Linked DNA regions of Notamacropus eugenii. The protein of the gene in region 1 purifies or fractionates together with the protein of each later gene. This does not show direct contact. Links are inferred from orthologs where the notes say so. Each region holds a gene or a part of one and is shown on either strand. Other genes may lie near its edges. The genes, in order: ADRM1, PSME1, PSMA1 and ECPAS.

Region 1 (7,125 bases):
GGCCTCCACTTCCACTTGCACCCAGAGCTCCTGGCATAGGTGGATTATTCAAATATTCATTTACTTTCCTGCAATGTTCTTCATCCTTCTCAGTCTTAGGCTCCTGTAGGAGAAGAACTGGGGTCATTAACAAAATATTTCAAATGGACCAAGATCCAAAATATCTTTGCACTGAACAATTACCATCTTTCTTGTACTCCTCACTTAGCTTTATCTTCATTTTATGTTATTTCCACAAGGGAAATCCTGACTCTTAACACAAACATTTGTGCTGTGTACACAAGGGCCATACAGAATGCTCATGACAAGAAACCAATACATCATCAGATCTATAATACACTAAATATCACTTTGTTGGGGGGGGGGGAGAGATGGTAATGACCAATCCATATACATATGTATATAAATCCATGGTTTAAAGAACTCAGATGAAAATTGGGGTTTGGTGAAAAAGGTGAAGTTAAAAACTTCACTAACCTGCATCCAAAAGAAGAGTCGCTTTGATCCTGCCTTGAACTTTAGTACATATACTCTACCAGTAGTGCACTGAGGTACTCGCTTAAATTCACAGTCATCAGGAAAAATAATTAAGTCCTGGACAAAAAGGTAAGTAAAGGGTTATTGAAAGATCAGAAAAAAAGTCTATCTTATAACTCATTACGAAAAGATGCTACTGAAAACCACCTTTTACGAAGTCTCATGACTAAATGTAAAGCAATTAACAGCAATTCATTTTGTTGACTGTTACAGAGTCAAATCTAAATTTATCTTTGGGTACTACAGATCACAGGATCAGAGACTGAGAGTTAAGAGTCCTTAGAGGTCCTCTAGTACAATTCCCATGGAGGGACAAAGCGTTTAAGTGATTTGATGATGTTACATAGTTCAAACCACAGAGAGGTGCTACCAATTTTTTTAAAAGACATTTCAATCTTTAAGAAGATATAATACAAACATTTAAAAGGAAAGTATTAAAACCAAATTTATTCATTTTTAACTTAAAAATTACCGAATACTCACATCTTCTACATTCCCAGAAGTCCTATCCTTCCAACAGAAATGAATGAGGGAATCATCAGTTTGCTGAATGTATACAAGCCCTTTCCGTTTATCTGGGGTAACTGTAGTTCCTTTCAATGACATTTTTCCTGCTCGAAACTCCACCAAGTATTTGCTGGATGAGCCCCGGGAGCCTGGGACTAGGCTTGGAAACAAAGCACCTGAAGTCATTCTGAAACTGGAAAAACAAATTTATACCTTATTTTTCTATACCATATTGTCCTAATTGTAAAACTTTCTTCAATATGTACTCTATATGTTAAATATTAATAGCAACCAGCACTGAAAATTAGCCCCTTTGAACTATATCAGGTAATACCATAGCTCAGAGCGAAGGTGGATATGAAGTAGCTCACCTTAAACGGTTTTGTTGAAAAATAAGCAGCAGTCTACATCCAAACCATACCCTTTCATGTATCCCAGAAAAGATATAAAGAATCACATAATGAAATTATAAACTCAGATATACTTGAAAATCTATTTTAAAAAGCAAACACTCAAGTTTCAGTGACCTTCAAAACCAATACAAAGACTTGAACATCAGGAGTTCAGAAAGAGACACCTTACCCAAGACAAGCTGCTTTTGTATGAGCCCAAATGTTATTAAAGAATTCCATCCTGAAGAGATCATGAGATCACAGTTATATAGCTAAAAGGGACCTTAAATCCAGTACCCCACCCCATGTCACCAATTGTACAGATGAAGAAATCAAAGCCCAGAGGTTAACTGCCATAGGAGGGTAAGTGAGGCTAGGAATCGCTCAGGTTTTCTGACTCCAAATACAGCAATCTTTCCTATAATACCATGCTACTCTAAACTTAAAAAAAAAATTAAGGAAAAAAAAAACTTTGCATCTTGCCCTTTCATTGAAAACTTCAGTAAAAGTTAAGTTCCTTGAAGGAGAGGATTATTTTTTTTCTACCCCCAATACCTGGCGGTGTCTGGAACACAGACTGTAAATCAATGTTTACTGAATGAATTATGCTTAACTTTTTTTCTCACCAAGTCTTGAATTTTCTTGATTTTTTTAAGAAAAAGCTGCCCACCAAAGTGCCTTGTTTCTACAACTGGATAGACTGAGTTTCACTTGCATAAACTCTCTTCCGAGGAGGGGAAGGCAAGGGGTTGGAGAAGGGATTTCTATCGATGGAACTGGTCCTTCCGGTCAAAAGTGATGTTCTCTCCTTAGAGGAAAACCTCCCCGGAGGCCAGGCTCACATGCCCGGGCTGGGCTCTCCCAGGGGCTGGCACGAAGCTACCGACACTACAGAAAATAACTGACAGGGCACCAGCAGGGCAGGGTATCTTTGAGAAAGAATCCCTAGTGCCCGACGTAAATACTGCATTACTGGATGGAAACACAGGCAGAAAAGTGATAGAGGAGGCGCTTTATGGGGGGCGGGGGGCTGGGAGCCACCGTGAAAACTCTGTACCGGGGAGGTCAGGCCCTCCCCAAACTCCTCCTCCTCCTCCACACAGCCCCACATCTGGCCTTGACCTCCCAGCCCGGCCCTTCCGCCACCTGAGGATCAGCCACCCCCGCTCAGCTTCTCCGCGCCCCTCCACCCCGTCCCGGGCCCGACCCCTGCCTGCCGGGGCAGATCCTCCCCCGGCCCCCGCCTCCCCCACCCGGCCGCCGGCCCCGGCCCCCGCCCGCCCGAACCGTCCTCTCCACAGCCCCCTCCCCGAGCGGCCCGGGCCCCGGCTCTAGATGTGGTGTGGGGCTGCGCCTCGGGCCCTCAGCAGCCGTCAGCTCTCACCTAGGGCCTGGGGCGCGGACCGCGGCAGGAGCAGCGACTACGGCTCGCTCTTCCTCCTCTGCAGCTGCCGGCCCGGCCGGAAATCTCTTATTGCTCCACCCTCCCTCCGTTCTTCGCGCTGATTGGGTTGGGCCTGACGCGCTACCGGCGCTTCTCTGAGACCGATTGGCTGGAGAGGCCGTCCGTCACTCTCCCCACTCTCCCGGCCTCCCTCCTCCCTCTCCTCTCTCTCCCCTCGTACTTGGACCCACCCCCGGCGGCTCATTCCGCCGACCCCACAGCGCGCAGAGGAAGCCCCATCACCACGCAGTCTGGCGGGGCAGAGCGGTCCCTATTGTTGCTGTGTCATAGGGGAGCGGCGGCGGCCCCTAGCGGAGGCGCCTGGGATTACACAGAGGCCTCTTGAAAGGCCCCTCTGTATCGTGTACCTCGGTTTAAGAAAACCCAGGACCAAATGGGTGACTTTGCAAAGCAGATAACTAGGAAAGGGGATCGATTTGTAACACTCTATAATTAGCTTGCCTTCAGCACTGTGGGCAACAGCTTCCCGGGTCTAGATGGTTTCCTGCTCTTCTTCTGTTTTAGGGAGTTTATTTTAACAGACCAAAGTTCTGAGTTGTTACAATAGCTTTAAACCCTCAGGAAAATCCCCAACTTTGTACTTAAGTCTATCTCGAGTTAAAGTTTGGGTAATGAAAAAACAGATGATTACGGCTATGGATAGAAAAGGCACAGGAAGGGAAGCTGGGGAAAGAGCCAGACTTCATTCATTCAGCTCAGGTTCTCTGCTCTGAGATGCTTGTAACACACACACACAAACACAAACACAGTCTGTGCTTTTCTTTTTTTCTTATTTAATATTTTATATTTTCCCCAATTATGTGCAGGAGCAATTTTAACATTCTTCTTCTTTTTTTTTTTCAAATTTGGAGTTCCAAATAGTCTCCCTCTCTATCTTTGAATATTAAAAAAAAAAGTTCCCTAGCAATGTTACCACTTCACATCTTGGGTTCTAGAGGTATACTGTTCTTTCTAGTTCTCTAAGTCAAAGGTAGTTAGTATGACTCAAAAAGTCACTTGGGCACACGAGATAAGAGCCTGAGTATGTGCCAGAATAAATATTAACAATGTCCGTACTTTTCCTTGTCTTTGTGTGATATGTTTTGTGTTCCCTTCTCTTCTACCTCTGTACTATTTCACTAATCAAGTAAATATTTATCAGGCGCCTACCACAAGCCAGGCAATATGTTAAGTGCTGGGGATATACAGATACTTCTTATTTTCAAGGATCTTATAATCTGATGAGGAAACACAATTCACAAAAGGAAACTGGAAAGCATGGTTAGAGGATGAAATGAGATGGGGATGGGGGCATGTGGAGAAATCCCAAAGTAGTGAAGCCAAGTGAAAAGGAAAGTCTTAAAATTTGACTATTGATTGACATTTTAAACTCAACATGTCTACAACTGTACTCATCTTTCCCCAGAACTCTCCCCTGCCCCCATCCTTTTTACTATAGAGGATGACACTTTGACACCCGACCTCCTCTACTATCTCTTAGCCCCATATTCAAACTGTTGCCAAGGTCTGTTGATTTCATCTTTGCAACATCTCTAAATTTGCCCCCTTCTCTCCTCTGATGCTGCCACAACCCTGGAATGGGGCTCTCATCACTACTGGCTACCAGTGAGCTTGCATGCCTCAAGTCTCTCTCCCCTCCGATACAGCCTCCATAGTGATTTTCCTAAAGTGCACTTTCAGTCATGTCACCCCAGGGCTCCTGCTCACTAACCATGAGTGAGAGGCCACTGATTGCTGCAGGGATCAGACAAAAATCTCCCATTTGCAATTAAAAGCCTTTTATAATTTAGCACCCCCAGCCCCACTTTCCAATATTATCACACCTTCTTCTAAGCCCAACTAAAATTCCAAGTCTTTCCCAACCTCGCAATTTGAGTGCCTTCTTCTAATTTACTATTTTTCCTGTATATAGCTTGTTTCTACATAGTTGTCTGCTTGTAGTCTTCATTAGATTGTGAACTCCTCAAGGGCGAGGACTGCTTTGTGCCTCTTTTTGTAGCCCCAGCACTTAGCACAGTGCCTGGCACACAGTAGACCATTTAAGAAATGCTTATTGACTGAACGACTTTCCTCATGCAACATAGTCTAATCTCTACAAAATGCCCCAACACCCTAGGATTAAAGCAACCATTGTAAAAATGTTTTATTCTTGGAAGAAAATAACTTTCTCCTTTAGATTAGCTTTTATCTAGACATTAATGACATAATTCCTACTTGCCAAAAATTTAAAACATTACTATCTACTCATAGTTGTGATTTCCTTCTTGTCCAACATGCAAATCTTTCAGTTCCCTAAGAAGTAATAAGAGGTTTAATAAAAAGATAGAAATACATCTTACTGGAAAGCAGTCTATGAAAACATCATCTATACATTTACTTTATGGTAATTTTACATTAATTAATGCTAAAGCAAAATGGAGATGCTTTGAAAGTATTGAATAAGCACATTAATACAACATGAGTTTTACTAATATGCAAACTTAGTGAAAAATAATTACAAGTGTTAATGTCAATTTGTGATAACCTAACCAAAGGAAGTACAGTATTATTACATTTACTTTCTAGCCAAGGAGAATGAGCCAGCTTAAAAAAAAATCTAGCCCAATTTGCAGTTCTACGGAAACAATGTATAAATTTGCCTGAGGAGGAATTTTTTAAAAAAGATTCCTATAAGATAACACGATGTTGGTAGATCAATCTTCAGAAGATTAGGTTAAATACTTAGTTGTACTGACAGACTTTGTGATTTCTGCATATTATGTATTCGATTTACATTCTGACAGGCAAAGGAAAGGGCAGCTGGGTGGTGCTAGTGTGCTACAGTGTAGGCCTGGAGTCAGGAAGGCCTGAGTTCAAATCCTGTCTCAAACACTGTGTGACTCTAGGCAAGTCATCTGTCCCTGTTTGCCTCAGTTTCCTCATCTATAAAATGAGCTGGAGAAATAAATGACAAACCACTCCGGTATCTTGCCAAGAAAACCCCAAATGGGGTCACAAAGAGGTAGACATGACTGAAAAAGGACTGAACAAAAGGCAAAATAAAACACATCAAATTACCGCTGGATAAATCCAGTGTTACCAACCCTGAGAATGGTAAAAGAAAAAGTTTTAAGTGGAGTGTTTCAATCCACCATTGCACCTTATTCACATTGCTAAATCACCAAAGACAACACAGATCGTGGTAGGGTTAAAGCACTCTGTAAATCTTAAAGTGCAATATTTTTTTTGGTAAATAGTATTTTTTCCAATTACATGTTAAAATATTTTTCAACATTCATTTTTTTATAAGATTTTGAGTTCCAAAGTTTTCTCCCTCCCTTTTCGCTGCCCTCCCCAACATGGCAAGCAATCTGATTTACGTTATACATGTGCAATCTTGTTAAACATGGTCCCATATTAGTCATGTTGTAAAAGAAGAATCAGAACAAAAAGGGAAAAAACCATGAGAAAGACAAAACAAAGTGAAAGTAGTACGCTCCTATCTGCATTTACACTCCATAGTTCTCTCTCTTGATATGGACAGCATTTTCCATCATGAGCCATTTGGAATTGTCTTGGATCACTGTATTGCTTAGAAGAACTAAGTTGTTCATAGTTGATCACTGCACAATGTTGCTATTATTAAAGTGCTATTTCAATGCATTACTGTTACTGCTATATGTAGCAGGATTTTCACTACTGATTTAAGTATGCTTAGGACTCACTTCTATCTTCTAAGAAATGGTATATAATACCTCTAAAAAAAAGTGAAAAAGTTGATGAGGGTAAATTGCCACCAGTAGCCAGGTAAATTAAAGACAAGCATCGTATTAACAGACACAGATAAGGTGGTTTTGCCCCACTTAGAGGCCTAAGAGCAAATGTTGACTCACTGATTGTAGGATCTCAAAACTTTAGAGCTAAAGGCTTTAGAAGCCTTATCCATCATTACAAAAACAAGGAAACTGAGGTCCAGAGAGATAAAATTACTCACTCATGGTCATCGCACTAATCAGCCAAATGAGGAAAAAAATTGTTAGACTCATGTTTGGGGAGTGCATCAGATTAAATATACACTCTCTCCATTTTGTCTCTTTCTCTACAAGATCTTGGTAAAAATATCTTGAGGACAGAGAAAGGAAAATACAAAACTGTGACTCCAAAGGAATTATCAAAATGGTCATTAAAAACTTGGCTTTTCAACATCTCATACTGTTTACCAAAACAAGGTCAAGATGGGTACAT
Region 2 (7,745 bases), on another chromosome or scaffold:
CTTCTTGATCTTCTCAAAGTTCTTCAGGATGATATCATATAACACAGCCTGTAGGACCCAAGTAAGAAGGGAGGGGAAGTTATTCTGAGCTCTCAGTAGAGGCTCTTTAATGGCTTCCCAATCTTACTAGAAGTTTATTTTCATTTCCTCTCTCCCACCCCTCACAGGGTATACCTCGTGAGTCATTTGTCCTGAAGCTAATGTTATTTGCCTCCATATCAACCCTCCCAACTTTGCCTCTGCTCTTCCACCAAGCAAATTCCAGGGTCTAGTTCCTTACATAAGTATTTCGGATCTCCATGACCATGAGTCTTGTCTCTCCATACTGTGCTTCATCCAGTTCATGAACCAGTTGTCGGTAGTCACCCTGTGGAGACTTCAGGGTTAGTTCTTCATACTGGCCTTATCTAATGCCCATCCTATCCTTCCTGGGGGCTTCCTTCTGAATTATGCCTCTGCCCACTCTGGACCTGCTTCCTCACTCACCACATGTGGTTGCTTTGCTGCTTTAGCCACTGCATCACCCCTTTCAGAGAAGTACCTAATGAGGAATGAGAAAAGTTATGGGGTGGGTGGGAAAGTAATGTTCCTTATGAGAGGTGAATATAGAAGACTTTAAAAAAAAGAAACCAAAATGGCAGCACCTAAAATGAGAGTGGAAAGCAAGAGCTGGAATTTGAGCCAGAAACCACTAAGACAGGGGCAAGATATACATGTGAGACTGGATCACTTACTTTGAGATCTGGGTTTGGAAGCCATCCAGCTTAGTCCTAAGTGTAGTCATCAGCTCAAATACCTTCTCCTAAGGAAAAGAAAGGTAGGAAAGAGATGAGATAAAGCATGGCTCCAAAGCAGGATCAAGGTAAGGTGTTTAGGGTGGGGCAGTATCATCACCTGGACTGCTACTCCAAAGTTGTTTCCATCCTCAATTCGGGGCACCTGTAGCTGCAGCCACATGGAAACCTGGGGAAACAAGGGCAGAGACAACTCAACTCTGTCCCCCAATCCCATTTCCTTTTCTAGATCTTCAGCTTTCTGTATCACTCCATCTCTACCATCTAAGCCTCAGGCCATATCCCCTGATATCACCTGCCACAATCCAATCTCCCTTTTTCCACTCTGATAAGGCACTGTATTCTGACTGACAGGGTACCTTACCAACTGGTAAGGCAAAGGGGAATTGTTCTGGATAAGCTGGTTCTCTAATGGACAGGCCTTCTCCAAGTCCTTCCAGAGAGCTAGGTGAGGAGTTACGGGCTTACCACATTGAGCTGTTCTTTCACATCTTTGATTTCAGGCTTCAGTCGCCCCAAAAGAGCCACAATCTTCTCATTGCAGCTTACAGGTCCACAAGGAGGACCTGAGGAAATATACCATAAGCCTAAAAGTCAAGTGGGCGAAGGCAGCTGGTCCTGGGGAGGATCTCCTGGGGATACTGTATCCATTAGGGAACCAGGACTTAAGCCCCCATCAAATGACCCCCTATTACCTTTATCTTCATCTTCCTCTTTTTTCTTTCCATCTTTCTCCTCCTTCTGCAGAAGGAGAGGAGTCACATGAAGTCAAGTCCTAAGCATTCAGATATTTCCAGCCTAGCCCCATCTTGTTCCCCCCTTACCTCTTCTTGCTTCCGACGTTCTTCCTTCTCTTTCTCTTTGGCTGGGTCAGGGATGGGGATGTCCAGGGCGGCCTTGAGGAGACTCAGATCAGCCTCATTCAGAGATGGGTCCTAAACATGGCAGAGAGAAAGGGGAGCAGTCAATGTTTTCTCTTTCAGCATTTCTTATCTTCCCACTCTCCTTCCTTTCCCATGATCATTAATATCCCTCTTCTTGACCTTTACTCTGCCTCCTCCCCAGCCCCAGTACCTTCAAGAACTCATCCAGCTCTGAAACCTTCACCGGGAAATAGGTTCCAAGTAGGATCTCTGCCTGTGTATGAGGTAGGGGGTAAGGGGTAGAGGTCAGATGTTGATTGATTGATTGACTGAACAGTTGATCAGGGCAAACTTTCAGCCAAAGAAAAGGAAGCCAAATTTGTGTGAATTGAGATTGGGGTAAAGATACGTTAGATTTGGGGTGAGGCATCCAGGAACAGAGTGAAGGTAGTGTGTAATAGTGAGGTCTTACCTGAGCACATAACTCCTTTCTGAACACATCTACCTGTGGGGATAGAAGACAGTTGTCATGTAAGGCCAACAGGCTGAGACCTGAGGAAAACTTCTTATCTCCTTGGGATTGTGGACCCAGATATTAGTGAGATTGCATCTCAAGGTATGGAACACTTCCCAGTGGGGCTGAGTTCAGGTGAAACATGGGAACAGATCCCAGGGAGGCTTAGATGGGTGGGAGGTACGGAACAGAAGTCTCCGGGGGACTGGGTTCAGGGAGACGTGGGAATTGATCCCAGTGGGCCTCCATCTGTGGGAGGTGTGGGAATAGTTTTCAGTGGTGCTGGGAGAGGTGTGGGAACAGATCCCAGTAGAGCAAGATTCTGAGATAGAGAGAGATACGGGTGTGCAGGTTTTGCCTGCTTGTCACATGCGCGAGCCAGGTGCTCTGAACCATCACCCGTCCTTTCCTCCTTTCTCTGCTTCACCTCACCCCATCAAACCAAAGCCGTTTCACCACTCCCTTCCCTCTGGCTGAAGTCCAACTCTTTTCCCACCCCAAACACCTGCCTAGTTTTTCTTTTATAGGTCCCAGTTCCCCTTTACATTTCACTGGGAGTGCTCTAGACCCTGCAAGGCTGCGGTTCCTCACTTCATGCTGGAGATTTGGGGGCAAGAGCACTTTGACTCCGAAGTACTCTCAAACCCCTTCTTGTTGAGAGGCCTAGGAGAGGAGGATGGGGGGAGGGGAATGGGCAAGGGGAAGCAAGGGGAGAATGATGGCACAAAGCTGGGTAGAGCTTCCCTCAGGACCACCCCTCCCCTCCACCCTACTCCCCATGACTTCACCCCTCCCCTCTGCTGTGCTCACCTTGGCTTGGGCTTCGGGTCTGACACTGAAGGTGGCCATGGCAGGGGGGTTAAGGGGCCAGATCGAGCAGTGAGACAGGAGCAAGGGGGAAGGGAAAGTGAAAGCAGCTTTATCTGTAGGGACCTCCCTGGGAGGGTGGAACTGAGCCGGAGGCGGGATCTGGGTTAGAAGAGGGGAGGGGAAACGAGAGGGCCTGGAGGAGATGAGGCAGGGCTCCAAAGTACAGTCCCAGGGAGTAGGGACAGAAAGCCTCTTCCAAACTCTGTATGTTTGTTTTGTCTGGTTCCAGCCCCTCATGACATGCTCAGACTTTGTCTCCAAGTACCTCTTGACCCAAAGGGATGAGCTCTCTCTCCTCCCAGCTCCCCAAGGCTACCGTTCATCCCTTCTCAATCTGTCTTCCTCTCTGTAGTGTCACATGGGCTCACACAATTGTACAGACCAGGTGGGAAGGACATGTTTCCATCTGTCTACATATGTGTGTATGTCCTCTTGGTGGAATTGTTCATGGAGGGTGCTGGGAATAAAAGGTATCAGAGGAGAACTGAGGAAGGGGTGTGGGATCGTGGGATGGTAGGCTGTGGCATCCTCCTTTTCTTGGAGACGCCCCCCAATCCTGCCCTAGGCTATGTTAGGGATCAACTTGGAATGTAGGAAAGGCATTTTCGGGTCGTTCCCATTCTGTAGTGCTTTTAACCTCCAATATTCAACTGAGGTACCACCCACTATTCACCTCAAATAAAGAGAAGAGCCGGCTCCTGGCTTTGATTGGCCTTTATTTCCATCAATCACGTTTAAGTCTGGATTGGGGGCGCTGGGGGTGGATGAAGAGCCCATGGCCGGGACTTCCTGGTGACCAGGGTTGATGGTACCAGCTGCCATAGGTGAGGTACCAGGCGAAGGTACCCACAGCAGCACCTACCACCTTGTGGGTATATTGGTGGAAGTAAATGACAGTGCAGAGCAGCAGGAAGTTCCAGAGGCCCAGCAGCAGCACGTTGAGAAGGAAGACGAGTCGCAGAGGGGCACCAGCAGGCAGCCCATGCGCCAGGTACCGAGCAAAGACTGCGGTTTCCTCAGCCATGAGCAAGCAGCAGAAGGTGAGCAGGAAGGTATGAGAGGAGACAGTGTAGCCCCTCCACTGGTGGCCAGCTGCCAGGCAGCTGCGACGGTCAGGCAGCTCGTGGAGCAGCAGCCCCTGGGGCAGAGGCTCAAAACAGGAGCCCGTCAGGTCCTCAATGAGCAGGAAAGCACGGCCAGCCCCTCGCCATACTGCTGCCCCTACCACCAGCCGGCTTAAGTGCCGAGCTGTCACTGCCACTCGCCGCGTGGCCAGGAACACGACAAGTAGTACAAAACCTCCCAGGAAGGTGCAGGTCCAGCCCCAGGCAGAGTTCACAAACTTGCTGTGGGTTAGAAGAGGGGGAGGGGAGGAAAGGCTGTGGTGAAGAAACACTCCTTTTTGGATCCCAGGTTCTTCTGGATTTCTCAGCCTTTCAGGAATCCCATTTCTCCTCCCCCTGGACCTTTGCCACCTTCCTCTGCCTTCTGACCCCATCTCATCTCTGCACCCATTCATACTACCCCGGGCCAAATCACTAACTCTCTCCATTTCCCCTGTTCTTTGCCCCCTCTTTATCATCTCCAGCCCTCTACTCCCCTACCCCCTAATCCCCTAAAAGACTTCTCAGTCTCAGAGCACGTCCTACCTTTTAAATCCTCCCTTTGCACCCCCATAGTTCCCCCCACACTTGACCTTCTCCTCCACCTCCTGGCCTATTTTTAGTGCTCAGACTGGCAGTAGGACAAGAGCCCAAAGGAGGGGGGAGCTTAGAACCCAGAGTGGATGGAACTAGCATTAAAGGGCCTGACCAGAGGGACTTACATGTTGAAGAAGTTGCCGTGGCTGGCAAAGATGGTGCGGGGGTTGACATGGAACTGTAGCAGGGGTCCGAAGATGACGACGGCAGCTAACCAGGCATGGTAAAGGCGCCGGAGGCAGGGGCTCCCCAGGAGTCGGGCAGCCTGCTCACTTCCAAAGTACAAGAGGGCTGATGCCAGCCAGAGCAGTACCCTCAGCAACCAGCCCAGCACCACTCGAAGCCGGGCCCCCAATCCTGTCCCTGCCCCCACCCCTAACCCCCGCTCCATGTTCCCTCCCCTCTGACTGCTTGCTCTGCTGGGCAGCTGAGGAGGGGCTTGTAGGGCCCCCTAGGCAAGGACGGGCAGTGACAGGTGCTGGAGATACAGGGCAGAGCTCGACTGGCAGCTGGTGAGGGAGAGGGGCGGGGGGCAGCGAGGGGCTGTGGCTAACGCTGCTGCGTCAGCAAGAGCAGTCTGTGTGTCCTTCCACAACGTCCATGCCCTTGTGTCCTCAGTTTTCCTTGTTTCAATTTGTGGGTTAGTGCCTCCATGGTTATATCCTCTGAACTTTTCAGCCAACACACCTACTTCACTGTCCATTTTTAAAAGGGAGGAGGGGTGCTCAGGGGAAGCAGCTTATCAACTTTTCAAGTTTAAAGACATGTATGGCCATCCTCACATGAAACTTTCCCTATCTGGTGCAGGAATTTTCCAAAGTAGGTGGAGCAAGGCAAGGACCCATTCCAATATACCCTCGACTTGGGCCTTGGAGTGGCTCTGGGGGTCCACGCTGCTGTAGAGTTGTAGGCCTGGCCTGGTTCACAGTCAGGTCCAGGCTGGAGTCCTTGGAAGTTGGGAAGGGGGAGCAGAGCAGTCCTGCATAGCATCTTCCAACCTCAAATTTGCATCCTGTACTAATAATTGGGCTGGAGCAGGTCACTACAACTGGAGTCCTTGGACATGCTCCACCTTACCTCACTAGACTAACCGGGAGGAACCTTTTCCTGGTTTTGTTACTCTACACATTTTTGAAAGGTTTTTGTTATTTCCCCCTCTTCCTAAATATCTGGCATGATTTTGGTCCATACCAGGAGGCAATATGGCAAGAGTTGAAAGACTATGGTCCTCCCTCTGTTTTGCCATTACCAAACTGCACAACCTTGGGTAAGTCAACCAATCTCTCTTTGACATGACACACTTTCTCAGAGGGTGACTTTAGATTAGCTGGTCCTCTAACATCCTTCCCAACTCTCAGGTTTTATCTATCTAAGTAAGATGCACTGTCATCTGTCTGTGAAGTGGTCATCACACTGAACTACTTTTTCCTTTGAAAGGAGACTTGAATCTGGTATACTAGGGGGTCCATGTTTACTCCCTTCCAAATTCTACCTTTATTTGCTGGGGAAAATACATGTTTTAGGTTCCTGGAGTGGGTAAATGACTAAACTCCAAGCGAATTCCTTATTTTTAGTGGGGGATTATCGTTCGTCTTCTTAAGAGAAAGTAGAAAGCACATGTCTTTGAGGTGTATTTTCAACCCAAAGGAGCATGTCCTAGCTTTTAGGTTCCTGTACATTGTGTTATGCATTTCAGCCCCAGTTGTGGAGTTGGAGAGGTTTATGTAGAGCCTTAGTATACAAGGAACCAGACTGAGTCAGATTTCTGAGGAAACTTTATTGAGGGCGCTAAAGCAAGTGTAAGACAGGAAGGACCCCCACCTCAACCTGCTGAGTTCCTCTACCCATCTGCCCTGAGAGGACACAAGCTGAAGAGTCAGTTCCACAAGGATTAAGATGGGGGCATTAGGACTTCCTACACTGTAGCACCTCCTACTCCAAAGACACAAGGGAGAGCAGATTCCCAGCCTGAGGGAATAGCTTTACTTCTTGACTAAGAAGGAATGACATTCTGGTCATCATGAAAAAAGGAGAGCTGTGGTGGGGAAACCCACCTTCTGAATGGCTAGTCTGACCTTCAACTTGAAGGTCCATGCTACTGGGCCAGGCAATGGTAATCAGATTCTGATTGGCCAACCCATTTAGACCGAGCCCAGGAACACTAGTCTACAGACCAACTCTCAGAATCCAAACATGATTATAAAAAATAAGCATTCTCTGCCTGGCTAGGACCATACCTAAATAACTACCTGGGGGTGACCTCTTTATTTTCCAGAGTTGTCTGTCCTGCCTGCCCTCCAGGTGGGGATGGAGGCTGGGCAACAGCACTAGATTAAAAACACAACCCAGCCTCAAGGGGCAGGATACCCCCACCCAGAGCACAGTTAGGGTGGAAAAGCTAGGGTTTCTGCTCCTTGCTCCCTAACCCTATTAGCTCTTCCACATATCTCCCTGAAGAGAGAGAGAAAAGATTAGGTGATTCCCCGTGGGGGCTGCACAGATCAGTCCATACTGACAGGAAAGAATTACTGGGAGGTGGAATAGGCTCCATAGGCTCTGTATGGCGGAGTGGCAGTAGGACAGTCCTGGGAATCCAGCAGGTCCTCCCTGAAGTATTCAAGTGGACGGTACTGCCAGAGGCGCAGGTTCCCATCCCACTACAAGGGCAAAGAGGAGGTTGTTAGAGGAGGACCCTCTGAAGCCTTGAGCCTACATGAATCACTCAAACCCTCACAGAACCATTCAATTCCTGTTCCCTTCCCTGATTCTGCCAATCTCACCGAACTGCTGACAATCTTTTGCTCAAAGGGATGCCAACTGACGTCCCGTACACAGGCCTTGTGGCTGGACAGCTTCTTCACAATCTGGCCACTGAGGAGGTCATATACTACACAGGAAAGGAAAGAATGAGAAAGGCCACTAAGGTATCATCCATCTACATTTTATTCTCTAGCAAGGGTCCCTTATGGCAGTCTAGTGAAGCCTGTGGACTCCATCTCAGAAT
Region 3 (7,230 bases), on another chromosome or scaffold:
TAAGACATAAATAGAGTGAATGAAAGGTAATTTGACAGGGAAGAAACTAGTATGAGAACTAGTAAGAAGAACCAGGAAAGGACTCCTAAAAAAAAAGATCTGAGCAAGCCTGAAGGAAAGAAGGGAAGCTAGTAGGTAGTAGTAACAGAGAAGAGAACTCCAAACATGGGGGATAGCTAGGGAAATCCATAGTCAAGACATAGAGCACTGTGTGCATGAAACAGCAGCTGTTGGATCATAAAATGTGCGTGAAGAACTAAAGTATAAGAAGGAAGACTAGAGAGATAGAAAGAGATCAGTTTGTGAAGGGCTTTAAATGCCAGACAGGGTATTTTATATTTGATCTTGGAATTAATAGGAAACCACGGAAGTTTATTGAGTAGCAAGGTGATATGATCAGATCTGCAGTTTAGGAAAATCACTTTGGCAGCTTAGTGGAAGATAGATTGAAATGGGGGAACCCTTGAAGAAAAGAGATCAACCAGAATGCTACTTCAATAGTCTAGGCATGTGATGATTAGAACCTATACCAGGGTAGTGATAATGTGAATGGAGAAAAGGATATGTGTAACAGAGATGTTGTAAAGGTAGAAATGCAGCTTGAGATTAAGTTATGAAGGGCTTTAAAAAATGAACAAAGGAACTTTTATTTTATTCTAGAGGAAACAGGGAGTCACTGGAGTTTATTGAGCAGGGCAGAAATATCATCTGACTTGCCTACAATACCCCTATACCCTTTCAGCTGAGGGCCCCACCTCTTACTTTATTGGGAAAATTGAGACCATTTAACTTCCATCCTTCTTCTACAATTTTCATCTTCAGATCATCCCTCACTTTCTACCTTTCCTCCAATTTCTGATCATGAAGTGGCCCTTCTTAACATGGTTGACTCTTGTAAATGTGCCCTTCATTCTGTCCCCTCCCTCATACTATCGGCTCTATCATCCTCACTCTCAGATCTTCAATTTCTCCGTCTACTCCGTGCTGCATTCAAACACGCCCAAATCTCTCATATCCTTAAGGAAAACAAAACAAAACAAAACCCTGTACTAGACCTCAGTATTCCCTCATGTGTGATCCTATATCTCATCTCCCTTGCTTAGCCAAACTAGAAAAAGCTGTCTGCACTTATTACTTACTTATATACATGTTGCTTATTTACTACTTCTCTCACCCAACCCTTTGCAGTTTGTCTCCTCACTTTATTACTCAACTGAAACTGCTCTTTCCGAAATTACCAACAATCACTTAGTTGCCAGATCTGGCAGCCGTCAATCCTCATCCTTCTAGACCCATCTGCTGAATTGGACACTTTTGACCATCTTCACTTCTTGGACTTTTATGATCCTATACTCTCCTGGTTCTCCTACCTATCTAACTGATTCTTCTCAGTCTCCTTTGCTGACTTCTCACTTGTAACTATGGATGTTCCCCGAAGCTCTATCCTGAGTCCTCTTCTCTTTCTATATTCTCTCTTGGTCAGCCCTCCCTCACTCAAAAACAAAGTCAAGTTGCAAGTTATGTCATTATTTCTCTGATGGCATGGTCTTCTCCGTCAACGAAGGACAAACACACATTCTCTTAGTGACCTTATTACTTCTCAAGGGCTTAATTATCTTGTCTATGCAGGTGACTCACAAATATATTTATCCATCATTAGCTTCTCCCTAGAACATTAGTCATCACTAATTCTCTCATGGCTGGATGTCCCTAAAACATCTTAAACTCAACCCATTATATTACCCACCAAACCACCCCTCTTAACAGTCTCTCATTCTTTCCAAGGCACTACCATTCTTCCAGTCTCCTAGGTTTGTAACTTTAGCATTTTCCTTGACTCCCCACAGCCTCTCACCTTACATATCTAACCACCTGCAACATCTTGTTCTTTCTGTTTCCACATCTCTTGCATCTGATCCATTCTCTACTCACACAGCTATTTACTACCTTACACTGCAGCTACTACCTTAGATTCTCATCACCTCTTATCTAGACTATACCAGCATCCTACTAATTGGTGTCTCTGCAACAAGCCCCGTCCTACTCCATTCTCTACACAAACTGATATTTCTTTTTTGAAAAAATGTAAATAGTATTTTATTTTTTCCAATTACAGGTAAAGACAATTTTCAAGACCTGTTTTTTATAAGGTTTTGAGTTTCAAATTTTTCCCCATCCTTCCCTCCTCTGTCCCCGAGACAGCAAGCAATCTGGTATAGGTTATACCTGTGCAATCATATAAAACATATTTCTACCAAATTGATATTCCTAATGGGAAACAAGGAGAGAAAAGGAAGTTTGGAATAACTTCTGTGGAGAATGAGAAAAGGAATCAGGGAGGAATAACAGAAATGGAGTTGGATAACACAAACTTATGATGATCTCACTGAACAGAGATATGCAATTTCCTCCAGCTCTATTTAGCACGAGTAGGTGGAAAAGAGACAGAAGAGGAGAGTAATCCAAGCCTGAGATCTGACAAGGAATAAGTGGTCATAGGCAAGGGACTGGGGGATTTGAGAGCAGAGGACAGTGTGGAGTTGAACTGAATAACACAGGCTTGATATTGGAAAGGGAGGAAAGTGAAGTCAGAGTAGGAAAATAGCCTGAAAAAGTACTGATGAGGAGAGGCAATGGAGCTCCCAGTGAGAAGGAAAAATCCTTGCCCCTACTGACAGGCAAGCTCAACCAGTTTATCTTCCAACCGCAAATAACAGTCTGGACAAAGGCATTCTTCATCCACTTGGTGTTTGGTATGTAACTAGTTGGGCAAAACTCAAGTGATTATGAATCTCATCTAGGAGGCTCTGGAATAGTCTGGGAACTGATATAAACAGCACAATATCATCCACAAACAAGTGTCTGGAGGACTTCCCCCTCCATAGGAAATCCTTCTTTGACTGGGACTCTCCATCGGATCTCTTACATAACAGCAGCACTAAACATCTCTGCTTTGTTGGATAGTAATGATTGGAAGGTTCTCTTTCAAAAACTCATGAATAACTTTGACAGGCATATGAGCCCAACCTTATCAGAAGAGAACTTTTACAGTTTTGCTCTGCTCAATCAAATGCTTTCCTATTGTTAATAAAACAATGAGCACAGCGGGATCTGGACATTTTCCAGTTAAATACATAATGGCAAAGATGCCAAATTAAGTCAAGTATTTAAGTGCTTACTATGTGCTAAGCCCTGGAAACACAAGCAAAGTAGAAACAGTCTCTGCCCTCAAGTTCATCATCTAAAGGGGAGAGGGGAGGTCTTCTTTAGAGTATATATATGTGTATATATGTATATGTGTGTATATATGTATATGCATGTATGTATATGTATATATGTATATATACACACATATATTTTTTTTTTTTTTTGCAAAAAGTTGCCTGATTCCTCCTAACATCTTCAACAAGGCTGTCTCCTTCATTAGACTGTAAGATCTGAGAGGTCTGGGGCTGTTTTTGCATTTCTTTGTATTCCCAGAACTGAACACAATGCCTGGCATATAATAAGCACTTAATAAGCTGCCTCTGTTGCTTTTCTATCTACTTAAATATCTATACATAAAAAAAATTAAAAAATCTATATATAACACTATGCCAACTGTATCCATTCACCTACTTGTCATCTGGCTCTAGGATTTCATCCCTGGAAGAAGACCAGTCTAGACACGCCCTTGGCCGTGGGGATCACTGAACGCTTGTAACTTACACTTAGCCTCATGATCACGTGCGCGCACGGCCACGTGCGCGCAGAGACACGTGGCGACCCTCGAGGAGGAACTCTAACTTCTCCCCTGGGCTGGGCACCAGTGTACATTGACCTACACAATACATAATGGCGATTCTGAATATCAAGAATGCATGACGTCAGTCACGCCCCTGTGTACCATCACTCTCCCTACTTGGCCAAATTAAATATAATAGAAACTGCTGCCGTTTCTGTGACCCTTGAAGGTTATAAACAGGTACGACATTTATCTACAGGTGTGAATGGAGACACAGAAATACCCGGCATCTCTCGGGATAGAAATCTGCATAGGCCCCTCCCAAATCATCTAGGCCTCCATCCTTTGAGGGAGGAGGGAACTGGAGCCTGCGCTCGCTGCAAGCCGGGACCTGGGCCAGCTGGGCGAGGAGGACGGCAGTGTGAGGGAGCCTGGGGCCTCGCGCTTTGGAAGGGCCTGGCGGAAGTGCGGGGATTTCCCGCCCAGCCTTAGCCTCGATCTCGTTCCTGCAGGGGTTGGGGCGGGGAAGGAGGGAGGAAGGAAAAGAGATGGAGTCGATCGATGTCTCTCTCCTGGATTGCTCTTGCCTGCGCCGTCGCCGCCGTCGCCCCGCCCCGCAGGCCCGCTCTGTCGTGCGCCGAGCAGCAGCCGCCGCCTCGCCTGGTCCCGCCGCTCCGCTGGAGGTCTCGGCTTCGCCAGCACCGAGAAAATGGTGCGTCCAGGGGAGCACAGAAAGGGTGCGGGTGCGGGATCCTGGGGTGACCCCGGAGGTCTGGGCCTCCAAGCGCATTCCTCCGGGGCCGGAGCGAGCCGGCAGGCACAGCAGGCCGGGCTCCTCGGCCTGGTGAGGAAGCCGTGATTCAGCACGTCGCCCCGGATGCCGGCCCATCCTCGACCTCGGCGCCCGCGGCCTGCTTCTGCTCGCCCTCCCGCCAGCGGCCCCGGGCCCTGGGCCTCCGCTCCTTCCCTGGGGGCCCCGCGGGGGCCAGCGCGGGTGGAATTTCTGGGTATCCCTTCTCCCCCCCGGGGGGGGTTCTGTTTCCCCATCCCCCCACGGGTTTCCCCGCTTTGCCACCCAGCCTTCCTGTCCATCCCGCATGGACTTCCGGGGAAACTGAGACCCAGAGTGGGGAAGGGCCTACCCCAGAGCCTTTGTAACTGTCCCCAAGGATCTCTGGCCCCTCGGGCCATCACTGACTGCCGGGCAGGGCCTTGGAGAAGAAACCTCCCTGCTCCCCCAAAGGAGAGAATCCTTGCAAAGCGCTGTGTAAACGTTGGCCACGATCGTCGGGGTCATTGTTTATAATATGGGAAACAGACCCCGGCGACCCAGCAGGGGCCTTGGTGGGAGCCCCGGGACCCCCCCTCCTTCATTTCGCTCGCTGTCCATGAACCTGCCGTCGCTGGGGTCCCCGAAAGCTTCTGACACCGCCCTGGGGCAGCTCCTCGGAGCAGGCTGCTGTTGTCCGAGGCCTCTTCCGTCAGCTTCCCAGTGAATGAATGTGTGCCTCCCGTTGCACGCCGTTGTCAGATGTGTTGTTTTGGATTCTGCCTTTCCCTGCATTCTTTCTGTGCCCGGGGTACTGTAGCTATGTGAAGTTAGGGGCCCTGGGCTCAGTTACCCAGAGGTAGACTCCTACCAAGTGTGAGACCTCCCAGGGCCTGCTTCTTCCTTTCTAAAAGACCTCCTAAGGTCCCTTCTCGCTCTGAATGCTGTGAGCCTATGAACCCTCTTCACTGAGTTAGGATATGGTAGGCGTTTGGGAAAGGGGATGTGTTTCATAGGTGTGTGAAGAGATTTTTATGACTTCATATGTACGGTTAATACATTGACTGCCTTCTGGATGGGTGGGGGAAGGAGGAAATTTGGAACTTAAAAATGAATGTTAATTTTTTAATGTAATTGGGAAATGTTTAACGAAATATATCTTGAAACTAATATTAAAAGTTAATTAGAAAAAGAAAGGCTGCCAGTTGTCAGGTCACCAGCTAGGGTTTGCAATAATGCCCTTTATATTTAATGCAGTTTTTCCTTTGCTTTCAGTTTCGAAACCAGTATGACAATGATGTCACTGTTTGGAGCCCTCAGGTAAAAAAAAATTCCCTTCCTTTTCAATTGTTGGGAATATCCTGGTAGTATTAAGAATATATTCAGAATATATCTTATGAGATCCTGTCATGGCTTAATCTTACTGAATAAATGACAGATTTCTGCAGACATTTCTGGAACTTCATCTTTGTTACTGAAATGAAAGCTAATACCAAAAAGTTAAAAGACCTGATTCAACTACAAAATAATGCATTAATCTTGTAAAGTTTTCTAGGATATCTGCTTTTTCTAAGTAACAGTTTTTTTCTCTTTTAGGGCAGAATTCATCAAATAGAATATGCAATGGAAGCTGTCAAACAAGGCTCAGCTACTGTGGGCCTGAAATCCAAAACCCATGCTGTACTGGTTGCTTTGAAAGTAAGTAAAGTAGAAAGTCAGATTTCCAACATAAATATTTTACATCCTTAAGAACCACTTTAACTTCAAATTTCACTGCAGAATAAGCCGTACCAGACTAATGTTTATTTTCTTTTTCTTTACTGCCTCTGCATTTGTAGAGGGCACAGTCAGAACTGGCAGCTCATCAGAAAAAAATTCTACATGTTGATAATCATATTGGAATCTCAATTGCTGGGCTCACTGCTGATGCTAGACTCTTGTGGTGAGTACAGAATCTTTTGGGGGCTATTTCTGTACTAGAATAATAATCTCATTTTTAAAATGATATAGGGACAAGTTTGGCCAAATGATACACAGATTAGCATTTATGTTTTTGAGAGATGACCAGAACCATCTAATGATAGTATTGAACTACTGTGGAGAAAGAGGCAGTTTGACAGAGTGCCAGGTGCAGGATGCTCTCTAAACTAAACTAACTTGGACCAGATCAGAGGTGTTTCATGCACACAGGCTACCTTAGCCTGAGCTAGATGCAGTTGTAATTGGCAAATAGAAGTGGATATGCTATGCACAGGGATCCATTTCTAATGGAGTTTGACATTACTCCTGTAGGCGATCTCTACAGTTCCTTCCAATCCCAAATCCTATGATCTTGTGGGCATTTGAAGGAGTATAATTATTCCTGATAGCTCTTTGGAAGATGTTGTGGGGGAGAGACCTGAGTTCAAATCTGGACTCAGACTTTTACAAGCTGTGGAACCCTGGGCAAGTCATTTTATCCCTGTTTGCCTCAGGTTCCTCATCTTAATGATAGCACTTGCCTCCCAGGGCTGCTGTGAGGGTCTGATGAGACAGTCATTGTAAAGCACTTAGCACAGGGCCTGGCGAAGAGTAGGTGCTACAGAAATGTGAGTTATCATCATTGTTATTACTGGCTGTGGGACTTTGGACAAGGCATGTGACTTCTCTCAGCCTCAGCTGCCTCCTCTTTAACATGGGGCTAATAGCACCTCCTCACAGGGCTCTTTACATGTGTAAAGCCCCCTCAAGCCTCAGA
Region 4 (7,379 bases), on another chromosome or scaffold:
TTGCTAATGCTTTTTTTTTGTTGTTACACCAGTCCAAATTGTGTAAAAGAAAACTTTGCCATTTATATAAAAGTTAACAGATTGAATGTTGGAGAAAAAAAAAGCACTAGACTCAACAGACCTGAGTTCGACCTGATCTCTCATCCCCACGGTCTTCATAAGATGGGATACTTGCACAACATTTTTTATGAAGAAAGTGCTTGTTAAGACTTTAAAGCTCTGTATAAACGTGAATTATACCATTTATCACTATCTTCAATAAAAACGTAACTTACATACTTATGATTTTTAATAAGAAATTATAAACAGAAAATATAAGTCCTAAACCAATTCAAGATATTTAAGTGCAGAAATTTTCTTTCAGGTTAAAAATGATGGCACTAAATTGAACACTGGTTATTTAAGGGTTATTTTTGCTATGCACCTGACCAGTTCTATAAGTTTCAGAAACCAAGATAGATGGTTCAAGTTAAGAGACTTGCATAAAGCCATACTGCAAGTTATTGATAGACCAAGTATGTTATGCAGCTCCAGTCCTTTAACTCACTTCCCAAATAGCATCACCAGTAACTCCCAATTTATCTAGCTGACGTTTAAATACTTTCACCAATACAAGCCTGGCTCCAAACAGAATTCTGGGAAGTCAGCCAGTTTAGAAGACACAGTCAAACCATCCTAACTCGCTTTATGATTCTAAAAGCAAACAGAAAGCTTCAATGTTTCTTCTAGTTCAAAGGATTTCCTCCTCTCATTTTATCAGCTCACAGAAGCCTACAGAGGTTAAATGACTTGGACAAGGTCACTCAGAAAAACGACATCTAATTTAACGGCTAATAAAGTACTGTTATTTACCACTACAAGTTCATCTTATCCAGGTCTTCCAACTCATAGGATCCTTATATCTTTATGTGTTGTAGGGCCTTGTAATTAGAAGACCTGGATTTTTCATACTCACAAGCTAGCTATATGACCTTGGGCAAGTGGTAACTTGAACTTGAGTTTTCTCATCCATAAAACAGGGTAATACTTGCATGCCTCCCTCACAGAATTGTTTAAGAGCTTGCATCTGAAAACACTTTGTAAATCTCCAAGTGCTATATAATTCTAAACCATTATTATTTACTCCCTCCACATCACAGTTTGTTTCAAAATAGGCAAATTAAAAAAAAAAAGTGTTCTTAAAATCTATTATGTAGCTATTTTTTTATTGGAAAAGAATGAGATTTACAAGCGATTACAGAAGTCATCCAATAGAACCTTTTCAATGTATTTAGCTGACCTACAGTATGACTGAAAAGTGGGTTCTACTCAACATTTCCTTATGCTGGGTCAAAGTCATCTTACTACCCAATTGGTTCTATACTAGTCACAGGTAACACCATATGTGTGTGTATGTATATATGTATATACACACACATACCACACACACACATGCACATATCTATCTATATACTCTGATACATCTTCCACAATCACATTAAACTGATATTCATCCAATACCTATATGGTCCTACCCATCCCCTATACTCAGGTCTTTTCTTATGCAGGATAAACATCTCTAAGTCGCTTCAACCTTCCCTGACAAGAGGGTTTCAAACCCCCTTATCATGCTAATCACTTTCCTCAGATCCTCTTCCAGTTTGTAAAGTCCCTCTCAGAACATGCTGATCTTGAAAATAAAATAACAATTTCTGTGAAGCTCTCTACCTTCATCACGATCCATTCCATTTACAAGATTTCCAAACATCATTTCTTTACACTGGAGCAAAAGTGAAAGAAATGAAGGTGATTTTCAAGGCTCCTACTTATAAACACTAAAAAGGCTTGCAGTGTGGTTGAAACAACAGCAACTCTGGAGTCAGACCACTTGGTTCCAAATCCCATCTGTGAAAATGTACTGCCTCTGTGGCTAAGTCAACTGGACTTCAGTTTGTTTTTCTGCATAGAGAGATGGTTGGTCTAGATGACCTCTAAAGTCCCTTCCAGCTCTGGGTATATGATCCATCTTTATGGAGATGCCAATGAGGCTCTTCCTGCATGGCAACATTCAAGGGGGCGGGGACACATACGTACACATATATACATGCACACACGCAAGCTTTTCTTTAATCCCCTCCAAAAGAACTACATTTCCCATGATGCATTAGAATCTAAATGTTTTCCGGTGGGTCGGGCCTCCAATTTGTGTGATGTCACAGCTCCTTCAACATGGCTCTGTTCTTTGGAATGGTTGAAATTTTGCATTTGGTGGCTCTCCCTGACATCGAGTGCTCTTGGAGTTTTTTCCCTGTTATGAATTTAACGACCCCTCTTCCCGAGGAAGTGCGGGCCTTGCCCCCGAAGCGGGCACAAAAAGATCGCCGACCCGCCACCTACCTTGGCACTGAGAAGCTAAAATGCGGGCGGACGAGGGGGAATGTGACAAGTGCCTGCTCTTTCTGAGACTGACCCTCCCCCTCCTCCAGCATCATGCGAAACATTAATGGAGGAAGGGGGGAGCAGAGGCAGAGACGTGCATGGCAAGGTCTCCAGATCCTGGAGGAGCACGGGGGTGGGGGGGGCCCGAGGAGGAGTACCTGCACCCACACGCACTGATCCCGCACACACACCCCGGACACGTACACATCACACACATGCACATTCATCACACACGCAACACACAGACACGCGCGCACACGCATCCCTCCCCTCCACACCACCTGTTCCAAAACCTCGCAGGGCAGGGCAGGCTACGGCCGGGGGATGGGGGGATCGGGGTCCGGACGTGAGTTCCACCCCCTCCCCCCCACGAGGGGCAAAGACCGAGGCCCCGCCCGGAACTGGGGTTTCAGTTTCACAACATGACGCTGCAAAGCAGAGGCCTGAAAACAATCAGGGCGGCGGCAGCTTGGGCTTCTCCTCCCCCGCCCGGGCCCCGCTCCAACCACCCACCCCCGCCCGCAAAACTAAAAAACGTCCCCCGCGCGCCCCCTCCCCCGCCCGGGCCTGCCCAAGGACACCGCCGCCCGGGGGGCCCGACGGCGTGGCTCCGCGCTCCGGGCAGCCGCGGGGGCAGCAGCAGCAGCAGCCGCCCCGGGGGCGGAGGAGGTGGGGGAGCCGTTGGTCAGTCCGCCCGGGTCACTTACTGAGCTCGTCCTGAGAGGCGGAGGCGGCCGCAGCCATGTTGCACCCGGGGAAGGGAGGGAGCGAGCGGAGCCGTGGGAGGGGGCGGGGCGGGGCGGAGAGGAGGGGGCGAGGCGGGGGCGGGCGGAGTGGGGAGGGGGCGCAGCGGGCCCAGGCCTGTCCGAGGCCCAGGCCGCCCCGCTCCCGCCGCTCCTGCGGCCGGGCGGGCCGCGACCTCTCCCGGGCTTCCCTTCAGGCCTGTCTCTCCCCGCCGGTGGCGAAATTGCGAGCGGGAGAGAGGTCGCTCTTCCTCCGACCGTTTCTGCGTGGCTCCTGCGGCCCCGCTGCAGCCTCTCGGCCGGCTCCCGATCGCCCGCAGCCCGTCGGTCTCCCCCCTCCCTCCCTCTCTGGCTCTCTCCCTAGCCCTCCGTCTCGGTCTCTCCTCGTCTCCGTCTCGCGCCCTCTCCAGCTCTAGCCCGACTTTCCGAGAGCCCGGCCGGGACAGACGGCGAGGCGGCGCTGCCGGAGCCGCCTCCTCCTCCCCCCCGGGCCCGCGCCCCCCACGCCGCGGCTGCGTCTCCCCGCTTCGCCCGCTCGGCTCCCTTTAGTTTTATATTTAGAAAAAGCTGAGCCATCCTCCCCGCTCCCTCCCCCCGCTTCCTCACACGCGCGCGCGCTCCCTCCCCGCTCCTCCCTCCCTACCTCCCTCCTTCCTCCGGCGCTCCCCTTTCTCTCCCCGGCATCGGCCGCCCCGCGCCCCCCCTTCTCGCTAATCCTAGAGCTCCCCGCACCGTGGGAGGTCGCGAGACGCCCCCGCGGGCTCCCCGACCCTCCCAGCCGGTGCGCGGAGCTCCCTTCCCAGCCTCCCGGCGGCCGCTGTTTAGTTGGGTTGGGGGGGCGCTCCCGGCCCCCCTTCCTTCCCCCGGCGTCCCTTCCTCCCCCAGCCCCTCCGGGCAGTTCGTGTGCAAACGAGCCCGGTGGGGGGGGACTGACCTGAGTCCATGGTGACCTCCATGGCCGGAGACGGTGCGCTCCCCTTGGCGGAGGAGGAGGAGGAGGAGGAGGAGATCTGGGTAACCCGCGAGTGAGAAAGGGAGAGAGAGAAAAGCGTGAGTTTCTCCCCCTATCTGCGGAGGGAGCTTGTAGCAGCTGCTTCGCGCGGCGCCCGCGGCCCGGCCCATGGAGCGAGAGCTCTGTTGTAACCATCGCGGGCCGGGCCGGGCCGGGACGCGGTGCGGGACCTGAGGCCGGCCGGGCCCCTCCCTGCGCCCCGCGCCCCCCGCCCCCCAAAAACGCAGGGTCGTGTCCGAGGGACGAGGGAAAGGTCCTGGACCTGCGATGTAGGGAGCAGACTTGGGTGGGTTCGGGGCCGCGCACCTTCCCGAGGTTCGGTCTGCCGGCGTGGTCCCGGGCGCGGAGGTGGGGGCGGCGCGGAGGTGGGGGCGTTGACCCCGGGTCACGGCCAGGTGGGAACCCGGGGTTCCTCCAGGGTCAGAGCTCCGCACGTTGTGCCGCGCGGTCTCCGAAATGAAAACTAGAATTGGAACCGGCTGAATCCTGCTTTTGTTTTACTCCGCACCGGAGCAGTAGGCGCACAGCGTGTCAGGCCCCTGGGGCTGCCCGGGGGAGCCCTGGACACCGCGTGTCCTCACCTGGACCGGACGACCCGGACGGGCCTGCCGGCTCTAGACCTGCGGCCCTGCGCCTCGGGTGCCCGGGTCCGCTCCGTGCCCCGCGCCCCCCTCCGCACTCTTGCTCATCTCCTGTCATCCACCTGATGGTGGAGCGGAGGGATGAAGGGTCACCGGGTCGGTAACCGGCAGTCAGAGCCAGTGCTCTGCAGGACCGGTCCGTCACAGTCGAACCTGGGCCGTAGTTACGTTGAATTATTAAAACTTCCTATTTTTATTAGCTATAAAGAACTTTTTGGTAATCCTAGTCATGAGATTTTTTTGCAAAAGTGTGATTTTTATCCTCCTTTCAGTTTAAGCAGGAAAGGAAGAAAGTGGAAAACCTCCTCTTCCCCCGACAAAAAAAAAATTTAAGTTTTAGATACGGGGAAGTTGGGAAAGGAGTGGAGGGGCGCTCCATGGGGGCCAAAGTTGTAGAATTGGTGTCTGTGATAACGATAACTTGCATTTCCGTAGTAAATGCCGTGGAAGCGCTTTCACATGCTTTTGATTCCAATAACAACAGCTAGCGTTTAGGAAGCATTCTAGGGTTCGCAGAATGTTTGTAAACATTTCACTTGATCTTTACCACCGCCCTCCTAGGTGCTCTTACTATCCTCATCTTACCGGTAAGGAAACTGAGTCAGCAGAGGTTAAGTGACTGGCCCCGAGGAGGGGTTTGAACTCGGCTATTTCTGACCTCCGTTGCAGCACTCAATCCATTGGCTCTGCAATAAGAACCCAGAGCAGTCTGAGGGACTGAGTGACTTACCCAGGGTCACTACGTCTAGCAGGTATCAGAAGTGGTCTTTAAACTCAAAGTGTCCGAATCTGAGGAGTAGTACTGTAGTCAGCATAGCACACGGGCTAGTACGGATGAGGAAACAGTATAGAATGGTTATACTTACTCATCTGATGAATATGGGTTAAGCATTTACTGTGTTCAGAGCACCCTGAGGGACTGTGATTCACCAGGAACAGCCTCTCTTCCCCACCTGTGCCCTGCGTCACCACTGAGTTTGTGATTCATCCTGGTTACAAAACCTTGACCCTTTCCCATTTTCCCATGACGTTGGCACTCTGTCTTCATTTGCTATCCCTCCCGGGTCCCCAGGCCAGCTCTTGGACATGCCTTTGTTCCCTCAGTCCCTTGACTTCCTTCTTTACTTGTTCCAACAAACCAGTGAAATGCTACCATCCATTGCTCCTAAGCTTCTTCATGTTTCAGGAAAAGGTCATTTAATTCCTATTGAATCCACTAAATAAAGGTTGGTGCTCTCTAAAAGCTGTTTAGCAATCTTTTTATGCATCTAAAACAGTAGTTTGGGGATTAGGAGGCCTGGTTTTGAGTCCTGACTTTGCCACTTAATAGCTCTGTGACCTTGAGCTACTTATCTCTCTGGACCTCAGTTTTCTTCTCTGTAGAAAAGACAGTGTTGGACTAGATGAAGACTTCTTGACATTTTTGGTTCCACACCCCTCAGGCATTCTGTTGGGGCCTGTGGATCCCTTCTCAGAAAAATGTTTTTAATGAATAAAATAAAATACGTTGTATTACAAAGCAACTCACTTGGAATTGAACTAAGGACATAATTTATTCCCATTCAGGTTCCCAGACCCCTTGAAATCTGTCCAAGGACCAGGTTACAAACCAAACCAGCTGACCTTTAAGGTGCCTTTTGGTTCCAAAGTTTTAAAAGCCTGTGACTTCTTGTCATATTCCATGCCATAGCTGTTCGAAACCTTGTCTATTCTCAAGTCCCTGGCTGTGTAAGAACTATTACTGAAGTGGGGAAATGGGGGAAAGGCACAGAAGTTTAGAGGGCATTGTCTACAATTGTACTCCTAGAAACAATTGAGCTTATTACCTAGGTAGAAATAATAATCAGTTAAAATAGGAAGCTATGAAATCTATGTCCAGACACTGAGGTGATGGACTAATATTCCGAAATACACATTTTTTAACATGACCAATTTGGATTTGTATTGCTTGACTGTGCTTATTTTTTATAGGGATTTGGGTTTTGTTCATTTTATTTCAGGGGAAAGACAAGGTGAGGGGGGCATAAATTAATTTAAAAAATAGATATCAGAATGCTTCTTTCCTCCCCCATCCCCCACTCCAGAGACACCCTAGACATGTATTTCCTCTACCCAATCCTACCCTGGTCCTCCTATCCAAAGTGGCAAGAGGAGCAACCTAGTACCATCTTTAGTTAAAAAAAAAAAAAAGATGGCTTTAGTAGCAGCTCAACAAATCATCCATCCCACCTCTAGTCTTTCCCCAGTTCAAGCTGTTCTACATAAAGATGTCATATTCATCTTCCTATAGCCCAAATCCAATCAGTCCTTGGTTTGAAAACCTTTGATAGATTATTACTTATTAAATGAAGTCTAAACACCTTATCTCAGCATTCTAGGTGCTCTATGGGCCAGAACCAGTCTACCCATCTAGTCTTATCTCCAACTGGTTGGAAACTGAAGTTAAAGACTGCTCTGAGCAAGACAGCGAAAAGCTTCTAAAAGGACCTAACTGGATAATATTTTCCACAGTGAACTACATCAGACAAACCCTGTAAGCAGAGAGAATATAAAAGAAATTTTTCT

What was found.
Region 2: the proteins of ADRM1 (region 1) and PSME1 purify together in Homo sapiens (affinity purification with western blotting; 3 studies listed by BioGRID, with this or other methods). This does not show direct contact. The link is inferred for Notamacropus eugenii from reciprocal best matches to the Homo sapiens genes ADRM1 and PSME1.
Region 3: the proteins of ADRM1 (region 1) and PSMA1 purify together in Homo sapiens (affinity purification with western blotting; 5 studies listed by BioGRID, with this or other methods). This does not show direct contact. The link is inferred for Notamacropus eugenii from reciprocal best matches to the Homo sapiens genes ADRM1 and PSMA1.
Region 4: the proteins of ADRM1 (region 1) and ECPAS purify together in Homo sapiens (affinity purification with mass spectrometry; 3 studies listed by BioGRID and IntAct, with this or other methods). This does not show direct contact. The link is inferred for Notamacropus eugenii from reciprocal best matches to the Homo sapiens genes ADRM1 and ECPAS.

Annotation. Positions count from the first base shown.
Region 1 is NC_092872.1:500,848,979-500,856,103, forward strand, and holds the start of ADRM1 (proteasomal ubiquitin receptor ADRM1), read right to left. Parts: upstream 3,129-7,125; 5' UTR 2,821-3,128; intron 1,238-2,820; 5' UTR 1,231-1,237; coding exon 1,021-1,230; intron 595-1,020; coding exon 478-594; intron 104-477; coding exon 1-103. UniProt on the Homo sapiens protein: Component of the 26S proteasome, a multiprotein complex involved in the ATP-dependent degradation of ubiquitinated proteins.
Region 2 is NC_092878.1:9,149,764-9,157,508, forward strand, and holds the start of PSME1 (proteasome activator complex subunit 1), read right to left. Parts: upstream 3,228-7,745; 5' UTR 3,021-3,227; coding exon 2,982-3,020; intron 2,163-2,981; coding exon 2,130-2,162; intron 1,932-2,129; coding exon 1,869-1,931; intron 1,730-1,868; coding exon 1,619-1,729; intron 1,536-1,618; coding exon 1,490-1,535; intron 1,361-1,489; coding exon 1,263-1,360; intron 964-1,262; coding exon 895-963; intron 803-894; coding exon 735-802; intron 542-734; coding exon 487-541; intron 368-486; coding exon 281-367; intron 49-280; coding exon 1-48. Other genes in the region: FITM1 (fat storage-inducing transmembrane protein 1), read right to left, coding at 3,766-4,387, 4,867-5,132; DCAF11 (DDB1- and CUL4-associated factor 11), read right to left, coding at 7,267-7,398, 7,522-7,628. UniProt on the Homo sapiens protein: Implicated in immunoproteasome assembly and required for efficient antigen processing. The PA28 activator complex enhances the generation of class I binding peptides by altering the cleavage pattern of the proteasome.
Region 3 is NC_092877.1:37,944,685-37,951,914, reverse strand, and holds the start of PSMA1 (proteasome subunit alpha type-1), read left to right. Parts: upstream 1-4,047; 5' UTR 4,048-4,433; coding exon 4,434-4,436; intron 4,437-5,768; coding exon 5,769-5,813; intron 5,814-6,089; coding exon 6,090-6,191; intron 6,192-6,331; coding exon 6,332-6,435; intron 6,436-7,230. UniProt on the Homo sapiens protein: Component of the 20S core proteasome complex involved in the proteolytic degradation of most intracellular proteins. This complex plays numerous essential roles within the cell by associating with different regulatory particles.
Region 4 is NC_092874.1:403,759,393-403,766,771, reverse strand, and holds the start of ECPAS (proteasome adapter and scaffold protein ECM29), read right to left. Parts: upstream 3,251-7,379; 5' UTR 3,163-3,250; coding exon 3,126-3,162; intron 1-3,125. UniProt on the Homo sapiens protein: Adapter/scaffolding protein that binds to the 26S proteasome, motor proteins and other compartment specific proteins. May couple the proteasome to different compartments including endosome, endoplasmic reticulum and centrosome.